Caenorhabditis elegans: one gene and its partner. The protein of the gene in region 2 purifies or fractionates together with the protein of the main gene of each other region. This does not show direct contact. Each region holds a gene or a part of one and is shown on either strand. Other genes may lie near its edges.

Evidence for each region.
Region 1: the proteins of unc-57 (region 2) and unc-26 purify together in Caenorhabditis elegans (affinity purification with western blotting, with the first as the bait; one study listed by BioGRID). This does not show direct contact.

The regions. Positions count from the first base shown.
Region 1 is NC_003282.8:13,269,508-13,274,258, reverse strand, and holds the start of unc-26 (Synaptojanin), read left to right. Parts: upstream 1-1,742; 5' UTR 1,743-1,747; coding exon 1,748-1,871; intron 1,872-2,910; coding exon 2,911-3,140; intron 3,141-3,876; coding exon 3,877-4,067; intron 4,068-4,751. Other genes in the region: cpsf-3 (Cleavage and polyadenylation specificity factor subunit 3), read left to right, coding at 102-152. UniProt on the Caenorhabditis elegans protein: Probable inositol 5-phosphatase which regulates synaptic vesicle recycling in neurons by regulating clathrin-mediated endocytosis.
Region 2 is NC_003279.8:4,673,592-4,679,940, forward strand, and holds unc-57 (Endophilin-A homolog), read left to right. Parts: upstream 1-1,543; 5' UTR 1,544-1,547; coding exon 1,548-1,883; intron 1,884-2,156; coding exon 2,157-2,285; intron 2,286-2,333; coding exon 2,334-2,486; intron 2,487-2,867; coding exon 2,868-3,055; intron 3,056-4,078; coding exon 4,079-4,133; intron 4,134-4,976; coding exon 4,977-5,261; 3' UTR 5,262-5,816; downstream 5,817-6,349. Other genes in the region: T04D1.2 (F-box domain-containing protein), read left to right, coding at 6,080-6,172, 6,222-6,301. UniProt on the Caenorhabditis elegans protein: Involved in synaptic vesicle (SV) recycling in neurons probably by regulating clathrin-mediated endocytosis. By controlling SV endocytosis, regulates the rate of excitatory postsynaptic currents (EPSCs) at neuromuscular junctions and thus locomotion.

The DNA.
Region 1 (4,751 bases), on a different chromosome or scaffold from region 2:
ATAAGGAAAAACGTATAAAAATACATTCTTTGCATTTTTCCACATCGCATGAATAAAACCATAACTTTCGGAAATCTGAAAAAATCTCAAAATTATTCCAGATTGTGACTACAAACACAGAAGTGAATGAGATTGATGATATGGAATGTTAGAGTAAGCAGAGTCGATCGTCACACCAACAATGATCTCAAATTACATTCTCTTTCTCTATCTTTTTTTCGTTTTGTTTATGTTTTCAGAGTATTGAAGGGAATATCGAGAGAATTGTTATAATTTATTTCATTATTATTATATCATTATTACTTTTTCTTCTGTTGTTGTGCTCTTCGTTTTGTGCATTAAAATCATATTTTTTAATCCAATAATTTTTTTTCTTTGTCTCCAAAAAAATGAAAACGCGTGTCCATCGCGAGAGACTATATGAGTTTTTCCCTAAAAATCGCAAAAATGGAGAAACAAACTTTCAGAAAGTAATGAAAAATGTATGAGAAAAATTACCGAAAATTTAAGAGACTTTCCGGAAATTCCGCAAAATTAAATTTTTTTGAAAATATTGGAAAAACTAAAATTTTCGATCTTTAAATGTTCTCTAATAGTAAAATCGAAAAACGAACAAATTTCGAATTGAAAAAAAAAATTTTTGAATAAAATCGAAAAACCAAAAACTTTTAGATTTTCCAATATTTCGACTTTTCGAAAAAATATCTCTTAATTTTTAAAATTTTGTTTTTCCGATTTTCACTAAAAAATTTAAAAACGAAAATTTTCTGTTTCTTAGGCGTAAAAAAACAGATTTTAGTGAAAAAATAAATCTAAAAGTTTAGGGATTTTTTTCAGTTTTTCGTTTTTCCAATATTTCGAAAAAAAAATTTTTCCGATTTTTCGAATTTCTTCAACATATCACGAAAACACTAAATTCTGAGAATGCGTAGCACAACATATCTGACGCACAAAGTATCTCGTAGCGAAAACTACAGTATCCCGTTGAATGACTTCTGTAGCGCTTATGCCCATTTACGGGATCTCTCGATTTTTTTTTGTCATTTCTGTGTTATCTTTCAAAATATTTTATCGATTAATGAATAATTTCCGTAACAGCGCTACAATAGTATTTTTATATATTATAAATTACAGTAGTTTTGGCCACGAGATATGTTGCAAAATACGCATTCTCAGAAATTTGTGTACGCGTAATAAACAAAATTTGATAGAAATTGAATTTTATTGTTAATCTTTTCAATTTTTCGATTTTTTTTTTGAAAAAATTGAAAAAAATCTATTTTCTTCGACATTTCGAAAATAAATAATTTTTTTCCAAAATAATATCTTTAAATTTTCGCCATTTTTCTTTATATAGATTTTCCGAAAATTGGAAAAATTGCAAAAAAATGCCCAATGACACCCGTGGCCGGGACCGGGAGGCCTAAGAGATTTAAAAAGACAAAACACGTATAGTTAGTCGGTTTTTTCTTCTTTCTTTATATGCTTCTCGCAGGGCTTTTCCCCTTCTGCCATCGTCTTCCTTTTTTCTTCGTCAATATATTCACATCTCTGCGTCTCTCCCAATGCATTTTTCTGCGTCTCTTCTATTCACGTACTGTCTCACTCAGTCTGCCATCCGCGCAGACTCGTTATTCTATTCTCACCACCACCACCACTACTGAGGTTCTTTTATTTTTTTTTGTTTTTTATTTTTTTTTAGTTTTCTTGGTGTTTTTTCTTTCTTGAATTTGTGATTATTTAGAGAATGTCAGTTCGAGGGATTCGGATATGGCGGAGGAATGATGCACGATTTCAACCATCAATCCTTGTCGAAAAGAATGGATTAGATGGATCTCTTTTGTTTCAGGGTGGAGCTATTGCAACGTTAGGTAAGGTTTTTGAAGAAATTATTCAAAAATATTTTAAAAATTAATTTAAATTTAAAAAAATAATCCGAAAATTTGGATAAAAGTTGAATAAATTCGTTTAAAAAATATTTAGACATTGGCCGAAAAACATTTTTTTAAAATTAGTTTTTTCTCATTTTTTTCTCAAAATATTTTTGAAAATTTGAAAAAAACATGTGGTAAAATATTCCGTATTACGTTTTTTACTGATGAGAAATTTTAAAGAAAAAAAAATTTAAACTCCAGAACTTATAGAATTATTTTATCGAAACAATCCATTTTATTACGGTTTTTTAGTTTTTTTTTCAAAGGTGGAGTACCAAAACCTGAGAAATATTTTCAAATGACTCCAATTTTTCCCCTAATTCCGAATTTCTAATTATAAAAATTCAAAAATATTTCCCTGATTTTATAGTTCAGCTTGAAATCGCTTGTTAACCCATGAGATTTTTCAAACAGCGAATTTTCGCGCCAGAGACGTCATGTGTCGATTTACGAGATTTTAAATCTTGCTGATTTCCGTTTTTCAACAAGTTTCCTCGATTTTCGTCGGTTTTTGCCAATTATTTTTGAAAGTGTGTTTTTTAAAGGAAAAATTTCCAATTTTCCGTCGAGTTGTGACCTAAACATTGGAAATTTTGTTAGTTTTTTAATGATATTATGTTTAATTGGCTTTTAAAAAAACCCATTTCAATTTTAAAAAAACTTGGCAAAAACCGACGAAAATGAAGGAAACTCAATGAAAAACAGAAATCAGCATCTGATAAACATTGAAAATCTCGTAAATATACACAAATCTCATAAATCGACACATGGCGCGGAAATTCGACGTTTGAAAAATCTCATAGAGACGCAATGCGATTTCAAGCTGAAATATAAAATCAGGGAATATTTTTTGAATTTTTTTCCCTTAGATATTCGGTATTAGAGGAAAATTTGGAGAAATTTAAAAATATTTCTCATCCACATTTAAATTTTTTAAAAATTTCCCACATTTGCCAAAATTATCCTCCTCTTCCAGATTCGGATTCAACAGACGTTGAACGAAGATCATATCAAAAGATAGTTGATGCTTATGGAATACTTGGAGTACTTGCTATTACAAAAGATGAAGCTGTTCTAGTTGCTGTTACTGGTGTACTTTCAGTTGGACAACTTTATGGAGCTGATATTCTTAAAATTACAAATGTCGAATTTATATCGTTACGAACGTTTGGTTCCGTCGAAAATGTTGATTCCAGAATTATCGATGTAAGTTTTTTAAACAATTTATTAAAGTTTTTAAAAAATTTATCTGATACATTAAAAAAGATCCAAAAAAAGTAAAATTTGTAAAAAAAATGAAAAAAAGAAAATTTGTGAATTTTCAGGGTTTCGAATTCGAAAATTTGAACCTTTTTTAATATCAAATTTTGAGTTCAATTTTTTTGGGCTATTTCGACTTTTTTGAAGTTTTAGACCAAAGCATTAGGAACTTCAAAAAATCATTTTTTTCGAAAAAAAAATCCAAAAAAAATTCAGTTTTTACAGATAAACCAGTGCAAACGCTGAAAAAATTTATTTCTCCAAAAAACTTTAAAAATACAAATTTTTCACAATTGCAAATTTTTTAAAAGTAAAAAATTAATTTTTTACTTTAAAAAATGCATTTCTTACAAAAAAAAATCGCCGGGATAGCAGAAAAAAATCATTTTTACAGAAAAAAATTTGTAAAAAAGATTCGTTTTGTTTTTTCAAGAAAAAAGCACAAAAGCCAAAAAAAATTACAAAAAAACCGTGGAAAAATCGATATTTCTGACAAAAAACCTCTAAACCTCTATTTTTCAGTTACAGCGACAATTTATAGATTTGAAAAAAATGTTTGAAAAAATTATTAAAAAAATATTAAAAAATGTGTTTTTCATTCAAAAAAAAAAAGATCTTTCGAGAAAAAATAACAAAAAAAAATTTGCTAAAAAAACATTTAAAATCCTCCAATTTTTTGCAGTTACAACGACTACTTTCATCTCAAATGTTCTATTTTTCATCACTTCAATCATATGATCTCACTCGTTCAGCTCAACATCGTGATTCACATGATTGTAGTGATGCACGATTCTTCTGGAATCGAAGTCTTCATTTTTCATTTCAAAGATATGGAATTGATACGGATAATTGGTTGTTGAAATGCATGGCTGGGTAGGTAAAAATTCATGTATTTGGGTCTCGACGCGAAAATCAAATAATGTTGAGTATGTTTCTCGTGGCGAGACCTTTAAGTACGAAAAGTTGCGAATTTACATATAAATTTAAAAAAAAACTTTAAATTTAACAAAAGTGGTTTTTTTTTGCAATTTTCTAATTTTTTGAAAATTTCAATTTTTTTTAATTACAAAAAAAAGTGATTTGAAAAAATAAGATAATTTTTGTGGAATATAATAAGATTTTCAGTTTTTTTGAAAAAAAAACGAATTTTTTTTTAAATTTAAAATTTAAAACTTTGTTGTAAAAATCATTATAAAAAGCCGAAATGAATTTTTCAAATTTCACTTATTTTTTAAAAAGAATTTTACAATAATACACAAAAATAATACAAAAATCTTTATTAAATTTCTGCTAATTTTAATTTTTTTTAGAATTAATTCGAAATATTTTTTTTCGTGGTGAGACCCAGCCGAGTTCCCGGAATTACAAGATTTATCATATACATTTTTTTTTTTGAAACACCTATTGTCAAATCTTTCAAAAACATTTTTTAAAGTGAAATTCAGTATCATTTTTAGAGTTTAGAGCTAGTTATTTTTTCTCTTAAATTAATAACTTTGTCGTTAAAAAAATCATTATAAAATCCAATAATAAACAACTTTTTTTTCAATTTTTCTA
Region 2 (6,349 bases):
AACCCTTGAGTGTGCCCAATCATTATGCCTATCCACACACACAAACATTAAGTAGTGGGTAGGCTAGAGTCTTTCATGCACAAGCAAATATACACCGATTCGTCTTTTTTCCCTCTATCTGCCACATAGATAAAAGAAAGAATAACCTTCTCCTCCCCCACAACACCACCACCACTAACGGCGTCTTCTTCGTCTCAGTTTTCTTTGCTTTACGTAATCTACGTCTTCTATTTTTTCGGGGTGCTCTCTTCGGTTGGAACTATGTGTGAGAGTAGTGTGTTTCGTGTGTCTGTGTGAGTTTTTCCTCATCTTTCTCTCTCTTTTCGCGCGGAAAGAGGGCGCCCGAGGTCGGAGAAAAAAAATGAAAGGCAGAGAGGATGGAGGACACAGAGGAACGAAACGAAAATAACTGAATCGATACATCTGTGGGGTTGGCGGTGTTGAAGAGAAGAAGACGAAGAAGAAGATGAGGGGGTGGAGCTCTCCGTGCACAACGGCTTCTCCTCCCCCATCTTTCTCTCCCGTGCTTCTCCTTTTACTAGAGTCCGGCGTTGTGTTGTGTGTGTGTGTCCCCGCCTTTTTCCGGAATACGAAAGTAGGTCTAGTTAATGGTTAACTACCTCTCTTGCTCCGAAGCAGGCTTTTTCTTTAATTGCTTCTTGCAACTTTTCTGAAGCTCTACCTTTCTACTGGGAACTTGTTTTCTTTGAAATTTAGAGTTTTTAAAACTTCCTTCAGTTCTCATTCTCATGCTTTATAACCATAAAAGTGTACATCAGAATAAATCCTAGATCATAAGATCATTCACATTAGCATTTCTTTTTGGAATGCTTTTTCCGAGAAAACTGCACTTTTGAGGATTTTATCTTCGAACTGAAAATTCGAGTTGTACTTTTGAAAAAGTTTGTAGCGATCTACCTGATGTCAGTTTTATTTTAGATTTCCTGCACAGTTTCTTTCATGAATTTATAATGTTCAACCTTTAGTTCTCTCAGTTTTAAGGTTTAATGCAAAGTTTTACATACAGCCTGAGGGTCTGTGGATTTTTTTGTTTTAATTGATAGAAAATACCAGATTATACCTATGAAAAATAGTTTTTAAATTTCAAAATTTGATGAAAAATCCGAAAAAAGTGCCAAATTTTGCTTATAATCGAAATTTTTCTAGAAAACCGACCAAAATATACAATAAAGATAAATATTTTGATTAAAAAAAACTGTATTCCAACTGCTGAAACAAGGGTGGAAATTATTTTTACACTTTTTAATTTATTATTACAAAATCATTAGAATTTATAATTTTTCAACAGTTTTATCTGATCTTTAAGTGGTATTTTCTTTCATTTAAAATAAAAAATCCACAGGCGAAACTCCAAGAATTCAAGAAGCTCATTTTATCGAAACTTTCAAATCTTGCTCACCGTGATTCCCAAGTGTTTTAAATCTAAAGGAAAATAAGTCTGGTTTTTGAATATTTATTTTCAGTTGTTTTAATTATCAATTAATTAACATGTTATTCCGAATCTAAAACTCAAAATTTTCAGAAAAATGTCGTTGTCGGGGTTACGTAAGCAATTCAACAAGGCGAATCAATACCTTTCGGAGACGATGGGCGCCGCAGAGCCAACAAAACTTGACGATGTGTTCAATGAAATGGAGAAAAATGTGGATACAACGTATAATTTAATTACGGATCTCGTCGCCGGAACAAATGAATATCTTCAACCAAATCCAGCTACTCGAGCAAAAATGGCCACACAAGTTGCCCTGTCAAAAGTTCGTGGAACTACAAAAACGTCACCGTATCCACAAACAGAAGGAATGTTGGCTGACGTCATGCAGAAATATGGACAACAATTGGGTGATAACAGCGATTTGGGAAAGGTTTGCCATCCCTTTTGGAATTTTAATTTCTGAAAAAAAACCCATTTTTTAGCAACATTTGTCAATATTTGTTCTGTGAGCAATTTCTGAAAATGTGACCAAAATACAGCAAAAATAAAATTACTATTTATTTTGTTTATATTAATAATTTAATTGAAACATTAGGTTGATATTAGAAAACCACTACTTCGGTATTTTTTAGATTAAAATTTTTTGCACGGCTTCAAAATCTTCTTAATCATAATTTTAAATTACAATTTTTTTCAATTCCAGAGCCTAAACGATGCTGCAGAAACGTATCGACAAATGGCTGATATCAAGTATCAAATGGAGGATAATGTTAAACAAAACTTTCTCGATCCATTAACACATTTGCAGAATAATGAGCTGAAAGATGTGAATGTAAGCTTTTTTGCGTAAAAAAGGGTTTATTATTAATTCATTATTCAGCACCACCGCACAAAACTGAAAGGACGTCGACTTGACTACGACTGCAAAAAGCGTCAGCAACGACGTGATGATGAGATGATTCAGGCGGAGGAGAAGCTGGAAGAATCAAAGCGACTCGCTGAAATGTCAATGTTCAATGTGCTTAGTAATGATGTGAGTTTTACGATTTTTTTTTGGAAGTTTTTACTATTTTCCCCTATTAGACTTGCTATTTGACATCGGTTACCCTTAGTTTTATTTTTAAGAAGGATTATTCTCAAACTTACGAATATAACAAAAGAAAAACGGGAAAAATCCGTTAAGATTTCGAATTTTTATGTCAGAAAAATCAACGAAAAACCTTCAAAATTTAACTAGCGAAATCATAGGCCACGAGGATTGTTCGAATTTTGATCCTGTTCTATACTATGTTTTTAATCAGTATTTTATACAATTCCTTTCAATATAAGCTGTCAAAGTTTAATTTTTTTTTAATCTGCTGAAATTTTTTTCCACTTCCCCTTTTAGATATAATCACAAAAAAATTCTTTTCAGGTCGAGCAAATATCTCAACTACGAGCCCTCATTGAAGCCCAACTCGATTTCCACCGACAAACAGCCCAATGTCTCGAAAATCTACAGCAACAACTTGGCCATCGAATCAAAGATGCAGCTGCCAGGCCTCGTGAAGAGCATGTTCCATTATCAGTTCTTGCAAATGAGAGCAGAACTCCAAGATCCAGGTTGGTATAAGCATGAAGAGTGAGAAAATGCATGTTTGTTGTGAGATTTTGAACGCTCAAAAAGACCTAGTTTTTAAAAAACAGCTAATTTCTTGAGATGCACTTTTGAGATTCAGCTGAAATCTCCAATTTCGCCAACATTTTATTGAAATGGAGCTGCCCCAAAAAGCTGAATAAACTACCAAAAAAAATGTTGAATATTGGAGGATTAATTGAAATTTCGGGCCGCTGTGGCACGGAAAAATTGGCAAAATTGAAGTTTTTTAAAGCTAAATTTAGATTTTTGTTTTCTTCTCAAAACTTTGAAACGCCATGAAAATTGTACGAGAAGTTAGAATAGAATTAGTTATTTTTAAGAAATTTTGAATTTTGAGTACAGAGATTATTTCATAAATCTACCTGAAAATTAGTTTTTTCAAAAGATACGAAAAAATATATAAAGCCGGAACTAGGCGTTTTCCATTTTTGTTTTCGATTTAAAAAGGTCCCACGCATCATAAAAAGAGAAAACCCCCTGTGCTCTTAAGAAACGGAAAAAGCACTGAAGCATCATTCACAAGTAATAAAAAGGAGGAAAACATATGAAGCACAGACATAGACATGCAGAGTCTATGATTGATTACATCGCATTATGTCTTTTTACGGCCGGAGGAATACTTTTTTGGAAGGAATATGAATGTAAAAAGATCGTTTAATGACTGATTGACACGAAAATATTGAAAAATTGAAATGTTTTCGGTGTTTTTTAAGCTAGACTAGTTTAAGTTTTTTTGAAAGTTGAGAAATTTCAAAAAAAATTATTAAAAGAAACAACGTAAATTTTGATTTTTGATTATCTTTGAAAAAACCGAAAAATTGAAAATTATTCTACGACACAACCAAAAAAACATTCTAAATTTAATTTTAAAAAAATAAGAATTAAATTTCGTTACAGTACCCCCCGCTACAGTACTCCCTGATTCATATTGTGATTGATTTTTTATTTTTTGCATGCTAAAAGCCTCTTCCAAAACATCTCTTCAGTTTCAGATCGCCTGCTCCATCGGATATGAGTCACAATTCTACGGCAGCCGCAGCCGTACGTTTTTTTGTTTCAGAAAAAATTGAAAAAAGTGCGACTTTTCAACAAAAAAAACACGAATTTTGGAGATTCAGTTTTTCGGATTTCAATTACTGAAATTTTTTGGAAAATGGTATAATTTTAAAAAAACACTTGTAAAAAGACCGGAAAATGTTTAAAAAATGTTTTTGAAACATTTATTGAAAAATCAAACTTTTCAGATATTTTTCGAGACGAGAAAACTGAAAATTCTTGATTTTTCAGAAAGCCGAAATATTGATCAATTTTCTGGATAAAATTAACCAAATATTTCAATTTTTTAGTTTTTTCTCATAAAAAACATATAATTTTTCTTTAAAAAAACAGAAGTGTCTAAACTTTTAAAGAAATTTTTCGCAAAATCAATTTCTATTCGAACCGACAAAACTAAAAATTTAAAAACGAAAATTCCAGATTTTTCGGTTTTCCGGAAATCCTAAAAATCGGAAAAATATTGGGAAAATTGACAAAAAATTTCAAACTTTTAAAAATTTGGTTGATGAAAAAAAAAAGTCAATTTTCTTCTTAAAACGGGTAAATTTTCTCGAAAAAAAACTACAAATTAAAAAAAACCAATTTTCTAAAGTCGAATTTTTTGTTTGTTGAAAATAAGTTACTTTTATAAGAGAATTGTGTATTTTCCCATCAGCATAAAAAATTTGAAGATTGAATTTTTTAAATCAATTTTCTAAATCGAAACTATTCGTTTTTCAATTTTTATTTTAAAAAATCGAAAAAGCGATACCCTTGATTAGAATATTTTGTTTTTGAATAAAAACCTAGTAATTCAATTTTCAATCCAATTTCTAATATTATGTCCAGTTTAAGATGCCACCACAAAATGGAGGAGGAATAACACAAGCACCACCATCATATCAAGGACCTCCACCAGGTGGACTTCCACCTCCACTCTCCCAGCAGCAGAAGCCACAATGCAGAGCTCTATTCGATTTTGATGCTCAAAGTGAAGGAGAACTGGATTTCAAAGAAGGAACACTGATTGAGTTGGTATCACAAATTGATGAGAATTGGTACGAAGGACGTGTGAATGGAAAAACTGGATTATTCCCTGTTACCTATGTACAGGTTCTAGTGCCTCTTAAATAAAAAAAAATGTATTTCTCCCTCCAAAACCCAGTCAATTCTTTCCATTTTTTGCTGTTTTATTGCCAATTTCTCGTTTTCTCCCCAACTCCAAAGCCATGCTCCTCATCTTTGTCTCTTGAATTTTATTTCACAAAAATATTTTATTTCCCTTTCCAAATCTCACTTTTTCTCTAGGAACCCCTGAAAAGTACTCATTTAGAAGAGAATGGGCTATGGTCTCTATGAGGCTAAAATAGTTAATTCTCCTGATCCATTGTGCCGAAATCTTTGTATTTATTAAAACACTACTTGCTTTATATACATCCACTACTTTCCCCCAGTCTGCCACACCCGATGCGTTTTCCAATAGCAATACCCTGACCCACATTACCATGTATTCTATGTACTCTCTACACTACCAAAAATGTGCATTTATCAAATCTCCCTTAAAATAGCAGCATGTTATTAGTTTTTTTAGCTTTATTTAGTAACTTATTTTCAACATCAAAAAATTCATTGCAAAATTACTTATTTTCGTAATTACTTATTTTCGAGTATATGAATTTGATTTTAAACTATTTTTTTTTTGAACTCGGAGATGGAAAAAAGTCAAATTTCTTGTCTTATCAATTTTAAAATTGTTTAAAAAAAGAAGTGGATGAACAAGAAAATCAATAAAAAACTGAAATGAAAACGAAATTTCGAAATATCCGGAATATTATATTGTCCACGAGGAGTACTGTAAACAGACACCCAGTTATGTTATTAGTGACGTCATATACTTGCACCATCTGCTCTCATACCTGTGCACCATATATCTCATCGATTTTTTTTTGAACATGAAACGAATGCAACTATCATTTCGTCCATTTTCTTCACTATGGAATTCAAATCGAATTAAAAAAGGTAGAAGTTGTTCCAATCAGAAGAAGGTAAATTAAATTAATTTTTATTTGTTAGATCAAAAACTATAAGTTTCAGAAATGTAACTCTTTCAATCTACTCCAACTACCATACCTAGCATTTCGAATTGTTATTCATCAATTAAGTATTTTTTCAGTGTAAGTTATCCCGTGGTGTCAGACTGTCCCATTATGGTTTGATCTACA